Linked DNA regions of Bombyx mori. The protein of the gene in region 1 interacts with the protein of each later gene in a pairwise test. Links are inferred from orthologs where the notes say so. Each region holds a gene or a part of one and is shown on either strand. Other genes may lie near its edges.

Region 1 (3,548 bases):
ACCTAAAATATAAGGCTCTATGTAAATACTTTTAAAGTCATTAAATTTTTTTTTATTGCTTTGATGGGTGGACGAGCTCACAGCCCACCTGGTGAAAAGTGCTTACTGGAGCCCATAAACATTTATAACGTAAATGCGCCACCCACCTTGAGATAAAAGTTCTAAGGTCTCAGTATAGTTACAACGCTTGCCCCATCCTTCAAGCCGAAACGCATTACTGCTTCACGGCAGAAATAGGCCGGGTGGTGGTACCTACCCGTGCGAAATAACATAGGTCCTATCACAAGTAAATGTCTGTGCTTCTTGAGTCTGGTGTGGGCCAGTTGCTTAAAAGTCTTCCTTTACCTTGGCTTCCTCTTAAGTGACCGCAAATTTTATTTCATATTCAGTCCTTCGGTATAGTTCAAAATATTGAATATTTTGCGTTATGGTTTATGTCAGACTAAATAGACAAGACGATCATGTTCATGTGGATTAAGCGCTACTATATGTACAACATTAATAAAGATAAAACCTGGCCAGAATATGCGGAGTATCGACCTCAAGCACTTAAATAAAAACACTAACAATTGGTTCGTGAGTGTCTTGGTCACTCTCCAGGTTTATGGTTAATAAAGACCTCTGGACTAAATGTGACCAAATCGCCAACGCGCAAGACATTACTAATCGGAAATGGGACTGGGACACACTCTACGGCGCAGCGGAGTTTGAGTGGAAACCGCGTGACAGAGAAGACCTGGTCACCCTGTCCACACTTGGCGACACACCGTGGAGAGCGAGAGGACTTTTTTTATAGCTTAGATGGATGGACGAGCTCATAGCCCACCTGTGTTAAGTGGTTACTGGAGCCCATAGACATCTACAACGTAAATGCACCATCCACGTATAGATATAAGTTCCAAGGTATACAGTTCTCAAGTATAGTTACAACGGCTGCCTCATCCTTCAAATCGAAACGCATTACTGTTTCACGGCAGATACAGGCAGGGTGGTGGTAACTACTCGCGCGGACTCAAAAGAGGTCCTATCACCAGTAAAAAGCTGGCTGCTGGCATGACCATGACCACATGGAGTGATGTCAAGGAGCAAGCACAAGACAGGGTCAAGTGGAGACAACTTGTGAAGGTCCTATTCAGCGGGGCACCCTAGGACTACAACATCTGCACAACTAAATACTATTTTCTTGGCAAGTTAACGTCTTAATTTTACAAAATACGAGAATTACATATCCACTGGAGGCGATACACTTTGCGAAGTTAGTTAGTTAATTAATACTATTAAGGCTTACTTTTTATTAATTTGATGTTTATACGCTTATTTCATGTACATTCTCTGTGCTGTCAATGCTGTCATGTAAATCATAAAATCATTCATATATATTCTGTGAACGAAAGCCGAGTTTGAAGTTTGTTTCTAATTCATTGTACCTATTACTTCTTACTGCATAAATTATTAACAATTTTTAACCATGTCTGCCCGATATGATAGAGCCATCACAGTATTTTCTCCTGATGGACATTTATTACAAGTAGAATATGCTCAAGAAGCTGTCAGAAAGGGGTCAACAGCAGTAAGTACAATTAATTTGGTTATGTTTATTGACGATGAGTAAGGGATTTTCAAATTCTGAATCTATCTCGATTCTCAGGTTGGAGTTAGAGGAGTCGATGTGGTAGTCTTAGGTGTTGAGAAAAAATCGGTTGCTAAATTGCAAGAAGAACGAACTGTGAGGAAAATATGTCTTTTGGATGATCACGTCGTAATGGCATTTGCCGGATTGACAGCAGACGCTCGTATATTAATAAACCGTGCACAAATCGAATGTCAATCACACAAGTTAACAGTCGAGGATCCAGTAACATTGGAGTATATTACAAGATACATAGCAGGTCTCAAACAGAAATATACTCAGAGCAATGGTCGTCGACCATTTGGTATTTCGTGTTTGATAGGAGGATTCGACTATGATGGTTCACCACACTTGTTCCAAACTGAACCTTCTGGTATATATTATGAATGGAAAGCTAATGCAACTGGTAGATCTGCAAAGACAGTACGAGAGTTTCTAGAGAAAAATTACACCGCTGATGAAGTTGCTACAGAGAATGGAGCTGTCAAGGTAATTTTCTTTAGAAAGTAAAAAATACAATTGAATATTAACTTAAATTTGAAATGCAATGACACTTCAACAATAAAATGTTAAAATATGAATACTTATTAATCTAAATTACTAATTTAGATGCTGTTACATTATTTTCTGTTTCATACATAACACCCACAATTAAATAATTATATTATTAATATATCCTCTAATTTTTAAATTACAGTTGGCTATCAGAGCACTCTTGGAAGTAGTACAGTCTGGCCAAAAGAACCTAGAAATTGCTGTAATGAGAAGAGGTCAACCAATGCAGATGCTTGACTTAGACACTATAAACTCCTATGTATCTGTCATTGAAAAAGAGAAAGAAGAGGAAGCAGAGAAGAAGAAACAGAAGAAGTAATTTAAAAATTGTAACTTTTTTATTAAAATAAATGGCATAAGGAATTCTTAATATTTGAATTTTCCTTAAGAATTCAACAAGTCTATAGTTTTTGAAATCTGACAATAAATATCTTTTAGTTCTGAACTGCATTCTTGACTGGAGCCTTTGTTAACTATAAAATCATTTAGCATCTGGTCCCATTCTCCATTGTAATGACTCTGTTGATTACTCTGAAAATGAAAAATTATTTTTTATAATTATTGATTACATAAACAGCATGTTACCGTCATAAAGGTTGATTTATTTTTATAATTTAAAATGTGTGTCCATTCCTCATATAATACATCATCATAATGCATACATTTGTGATATGAAGGGGTAAATCAGTTTTACTTGAAATCTTGTAACTATATGACAGAAATAACTGTAACAGCTATTATCTATTGTTCTCACAGCAGAAACATCACATGATCAATTCAGCCTACAAATTAGAGGTGGTTTACCATTAGTACTTTTCTGGTTCAGTAATATATTGGATATTGACTGCTGTAGTGAGATTTTCCTTCTAATTTCTTTCTAATACTGTGGAGCCTTGCTAGATACTGGTTTGAAGTTCTAACAGAATACTAGCAGTAACTAGTGTGACTGATATGCAATTTTCGTATGATTCAGTAAGAAAAGCTGTTAATACATACCTCATTAATGATAATATCATCATTTTGATCATTGCTAACTGAGGGCAGAACACAATTTAGTGAATTTTGTTCACTATCCATTCTATTCAAGCTTTTAACAGTAATTTCTTTCTTATTGTTTTCAAAATAAAACTCTGGAGATATTTTTGCCTTAGACCTTTCTTGAAGTGGTTCTGGATCAAGTTCTGGCATGCTCAAGAACTGACCACAGAAATTATCATTTGCATTCTGAGAAGAGTCTTCATTGAAATTCATAAAACTTTCATTTGATGACGTACTTCTGAAATTTTAGTTCTAAACTATTAATAATATAATGCAATTAGTGTTGTACAAATAATTAAAAACAATCATACTTTTGTTCCTTCTA
Region 2 (4,511 bases), on another chromosome or scaffold:
AATTGGGAATTTAATTGTTTTTATGATGGAACAATCACCAGTAGTCGTCGAACAAACGATAATTGATCAAAATGAATTAATCTGAGCAATAAAAATAAAGATGTCTAGTAAGAGGGGCCCAATTAATGGTGATCATTTGTTTAATTTTTTTTTTTTTTTTTTTTTTTTTTTTTTTTTTTTTTTTTTTTTTTTTTTTTTTTTTATGGCTCGAGTCTCTTCTTTTACGAATTACTCTGCCAATGTCAGGTAGATAGAATATCAATGATATAGATAGATATAGATTGTAGCAGATGAGATGAATGAGAACTGGAGAAAAATTTGTAAATATTTTTACAGTTCAATGTTATTGCGGGAAATAAAATAAGCTAATGCATTTACAACTTTAGGATTAGGGAATGTTAAGAGATAGTTCATATTAACTGGGAACGGGATGTTAGTGTTAGTTAGTAAACAATATAGTGGTGGGCATTCAACATTAAGAGCGCATTCCAGAAATATATGATCTAAAGTACCGATAGATTTACCGCAACTACACATAGGAGAAGGTTTAATTTTTAGCTTAAATAAAAATTGTGGTGAGCAAAAGTGACCCAATCGAAGCCTGATAAGTACACTAGTTATTTGCTTGTTGAATTTTTTGAACTTATAAAACCAAGGTTTGATAAACACACTAGGATTTATTTTAGAATATTGATATTTGTAGGTTTCCCATTGCTTTTGCCAGTCTGATACGAGATTAAGTTTAATATTATGAATAAGATCACGACTTACATTCGCGTAGTACTCACAATCACCACTATGTGTTGCTTCTTTAGCCATTTGATCCACAGTTTCATTCCCAAGAATTCCTGTATGTGAAGGGATCCAAACTATTTCAACTTTGATGTTGTTTTGATGACAGGTGAACAACAGGTTTTTGATTATACAAACTAGCGGATTTTCTAAACAATTCTTTATCGGATTCTTTGAAATGGCTTGAATAGCACTAGAACAATCACTGAATATCGCGGAGTAGTTAATTGAGTGCTGCATGATGAACTTTAGACAACTTATCAATGCAATACACTCGCCCGTGAATACTGAGGTTTCTGGGGGTAGTTTGTGCAATTTGTAATGATTTGCGTTTGGGTGATAGAAGGCAGCACCAGTGTTACCATTTGAAACTAATTTCGAGGCATCGGTGAAAAATAAATTCCACCGTGGCCATTTTTCTTCTACCATGTTTAAAAATTTTAAGTTGGCGTTTTTTGTATTTTTTTCTAAACCTATGTTTAGATAAACTGTGGGGGAAATTGTTTAATTAATTAATTATAAATAAAAGATTTGTTAATTAATTAATTATAAATAAAAGACGTACAAACAATTTTTACATTCGAACATTAACGAACAAACGACGAACAAATAATAAAAAATAATAAAATCCGAAAATTAAAAAAAAGGGGCCAAATTTACAGAGCCCTACTAACTCTGTGTCGAACAAATGTCAGGACTTTTTGGCGGGAACGCGAGGATTAAAGTTGTGTGATTTGTTTTATTATGTCTTTTTAGTGTTTCTTCGGGTTTAAATGTGTAACAGCGGTGGTTAACTTAACTGTTTAATATCTGTGAAAGTGCACAAATATGGGAAAATGAATCAAAGCCGCCGGACGTGACTTCGCGGAAACCTCCAAAAAGTCCACTTAATAAATCTCAGTAAATGACCACCTTTTTACTGAGATTATATTTCATCCCATATTATCTCTTTTCATTTCATACCATGTTTCATATTAATTAACTTCATTTCATAATATCATATTCCATGTTAAAAAATAATATAAAAGATTAGGCCTTGTGGTATTATATCTTAGTTTTTCTATTTAGAAAAATAAAACTACTACTTCGAAAGTACGAACAAATGTCAGTTAATGTCACATCACAATCACAATTTCACTTTCACGCAATACACAAGCAAATAATATTATTCTAAACGAATATTCAGTAATAAAGCCCTTGGTATTAAACTTGTAGTATAATTATTGATTCTAAAATTTTGAGTCTCTCGCACACCGGATAATAAATATGTTTTAATTTGCAGTTTACGTAAAATAGGTGCTCACTCATATGCAGTACGTATTATACATCAAACAATTGAATAATAAAGTGTATATATTAAATAATAATTAGAAACAGATTCACATACATTTCAAAAATTCCAAAATTCCGTTCGTAATAAAACTTACGATACAGAATTAGAAGTCAGAATTATGGATCCAAAAGAAGCGGTTGAACATTTAGTTGCTCTGAAGGTGATGAGACTTACAAAGCCAGCATTGATAAGCCCTAATATCGTCACTTGTGACTCAAAAGATTTGCCAGGTAATATTCTCAATAATTATCTAAAAGATGATGCCACAGCAGTCAGTCAAATGGAAACTCTTGCTGCTGGACAATTCTTACTACTTCCTCAAAGTTTTGGAAATATTTATTTAGGGGAAACATTCTCTTGTTATGTTTGTGTTCACAATGAAACGAATCAACCTGTACAAAGTGTCTCCATAATAACTAGTCTACAAACTAATTCACAAAGAATAGAGCTTACAGCACAGGAGGGAACTACCCCTACTATGTTGGATGTTGATGAAACCCTTAGTGATGTTATTCACCATGAGGTCAAAGATTTAGGAACACATATATTAGTATGTGAAGTTTCGTACATGTCCAACTACAATACGTTAGCATCGTTCCGGAAATTCTTCAAATTTGAAGTCATGAAACCACTAGATGTGAAAACTAAATTTTATAATGCTGAATCAGGGGATATTTATCTTGAAGCACAAGTTCACAACATAACATCTGGGCCCATTATATTTGAGCAAGTATCTTTGGAAAGTTCTCAGCAATTCACTGTAAGTTCTTTGAATGAAGTGAATGGTGAGTCAGTGTTTGGTGAAGTGACATTATTACAGCCACAAGAGAGCTGTCAGTTCTTGTACTGGCTTAAACCAAAGGAAAACATGGCAAAAGAAGTCAAACCACATGGCCCTATGAGAAATATTGGAAAACTAGATATAGTCTGGAGGTCTAACTTAGGTGAGAAAGGCCGATTACAGACTAGTCAGTTGGAAGCCATGGCACTCGATCATGACGACTTAAGACTGACAGTTGAACAAATTCCTAGTAAAGTATGTGCAGATGAAGCTTTCACATTTAAATGTAAAGTTGTGAATGCCAGTGAAAGAACTTTAGATCTCATATTAAAACTGCGTTCTCCGCAAGACTCTAGTCTCCTATGGTGCGGAATTTCTAACAGAAAATTAGGGCCTCTAGAACCCGGAAAGACAACATTCATAAATTTAACTGCTTTACCAATCAACACAGGCTTACAGAAAGTGACTGGTGTGTCACTTGTTGATTTGTTTTTAAAACGCACTTATGATTATGATCATTTAGCTTCAGTTTATGTATATTAAAGATTTATTGCAATTACATGTATTTTACTTTAATTATTAAATTTTTACTGATTGAGAAACTGAACTGTACTAAGAACACGCAAACCAGAACATATTCTGTACTATTTTTGTAATTTTGTTTTATATCATTTTAGATTTTGTGTGTTGGTTGATATATACATAATGTGGATCCTTTTTAAAACTATTTCATTAGATAGTGGTTCAGTTTTAATATGCATAGTAATTAGTACAAGTATTCAACCTCATTTCTTGTAACATGTGGTGGCCTTGGATTTTGATGATCTTTTCAAATATGTAGTATTGTTTTTTCATTATTGCTTTAAATAGGCTGATGATCTCATGGACTCTACGAACCAAAATGCCACACCCAACTTCAGACATAAGATTGAAGTCTCGAGACACAATCCCACCCTACAAAATATGCAAAACACCTCTATATGTAGGCTTATGGGCCTATACTTTGGTTCTTAAAAAAAAAAAGTGTGAACTCGCCAAATTTGTTGCATTTCTAGTAAAGCATGAATCCAATATAGCCTAATGGTTTAATGGATTAATGGACCCAATACATCTTCGCGAGGTCGAACCAGTTTACGTAGCTCCATCGTGGCCACCGAAACGGTCAAGCGCGTCAGGTGGCTGGCTGCTCAAATAAACCTTTTTTCTTAAAAAAAAATTTATTCCTTAGATGGGTGGACGAGCTCACAGCCCACCTGGTGTTAAGTGGTTACTGAAGCCCATAGACATTTACAACGTAAATGCTCCACCCACCTTGAGATATAAGTTCTAAAGTCTCAAGTATAGTTACAACGGCTGCCCCACCCTTCAAACCGAAACGCATTACTGCTTCACGGCAGAAATATCCAGGGTGGTGGTGCCTACCCGCGCCGACTCCCAAGAGGTCCTACCACCACTTGGCGGCCGGTCGCTAAAAGAAGACGCTTAAGCGGCCAACCGCTAGTGAGTAACGATCCTTGCAATACGACCTACCTATAGTGGGTACACCAGAAAATGCAATAACAAGGTGCAGTAATAGAATTCAGAAAAGACTGCTGTTTATTCTCG

Evidence for each region.
Region 2: the proteins of proteasome beta-subunit (region 1) and trafficking protein particle complex subunit 13 interact in a two-hybrid assay, tested with the Caenorhabditis elegans proteins (3 studies listed by BioGRID). The link is inferred for Bombyx mori from reciprocal best matches to the Caenorhabditis elegans genes pas-4 and C56C10.7.

What each region holds. Positions count from the first base shown.
Region 1 is NC_085110.1:13,656,967-13,660,514, forward strand, and holds proteasome beta-subunit, read left to right. Parts: upstream 1-1,391; 5' UTR 1,392-1,468; coding exon 1,469-1,570; intron 1,571-1,648; coding exon 1,649-2,119; intron 2,120-2,327; coding exon 2,328-2,504; 3' UTR 2,505-2,569; coding exon of another isoform or gene 2,570-2,716; 3' UTR 2,717-2,779; downstream 2,780-3,548. Other genes in the region: uncharacterized protein LOC101743699, read right to left, coding at 2,570-2,716, 3,182-3,461. UniProt on the Caenorhabditis elegans protein: The proteasome is a multicatalytic proteinase complex which is characterized by its ability to cleave peptides with Arg, Phe, Tyr, Leu, and Glu adjacent to the leaving group at neutral or slightly basic pH.
Region 2 is NC_085114.1:9,433,683-9,438,193, forward strand, and holds the start of trafficking protein particle complex subunit 13, read left to right. Parts: upstream 1-1,471; 5' UTR 1,472-1,992; intron 1,993-2,074; 5' UTR 2,075-2,243; coding exon 2,244-3,449; 3' UTR 3,450-4,511. Other genes in the region: uncharacterized protein LOC119628828, read right to left, coding at 521-529, 772-1,221.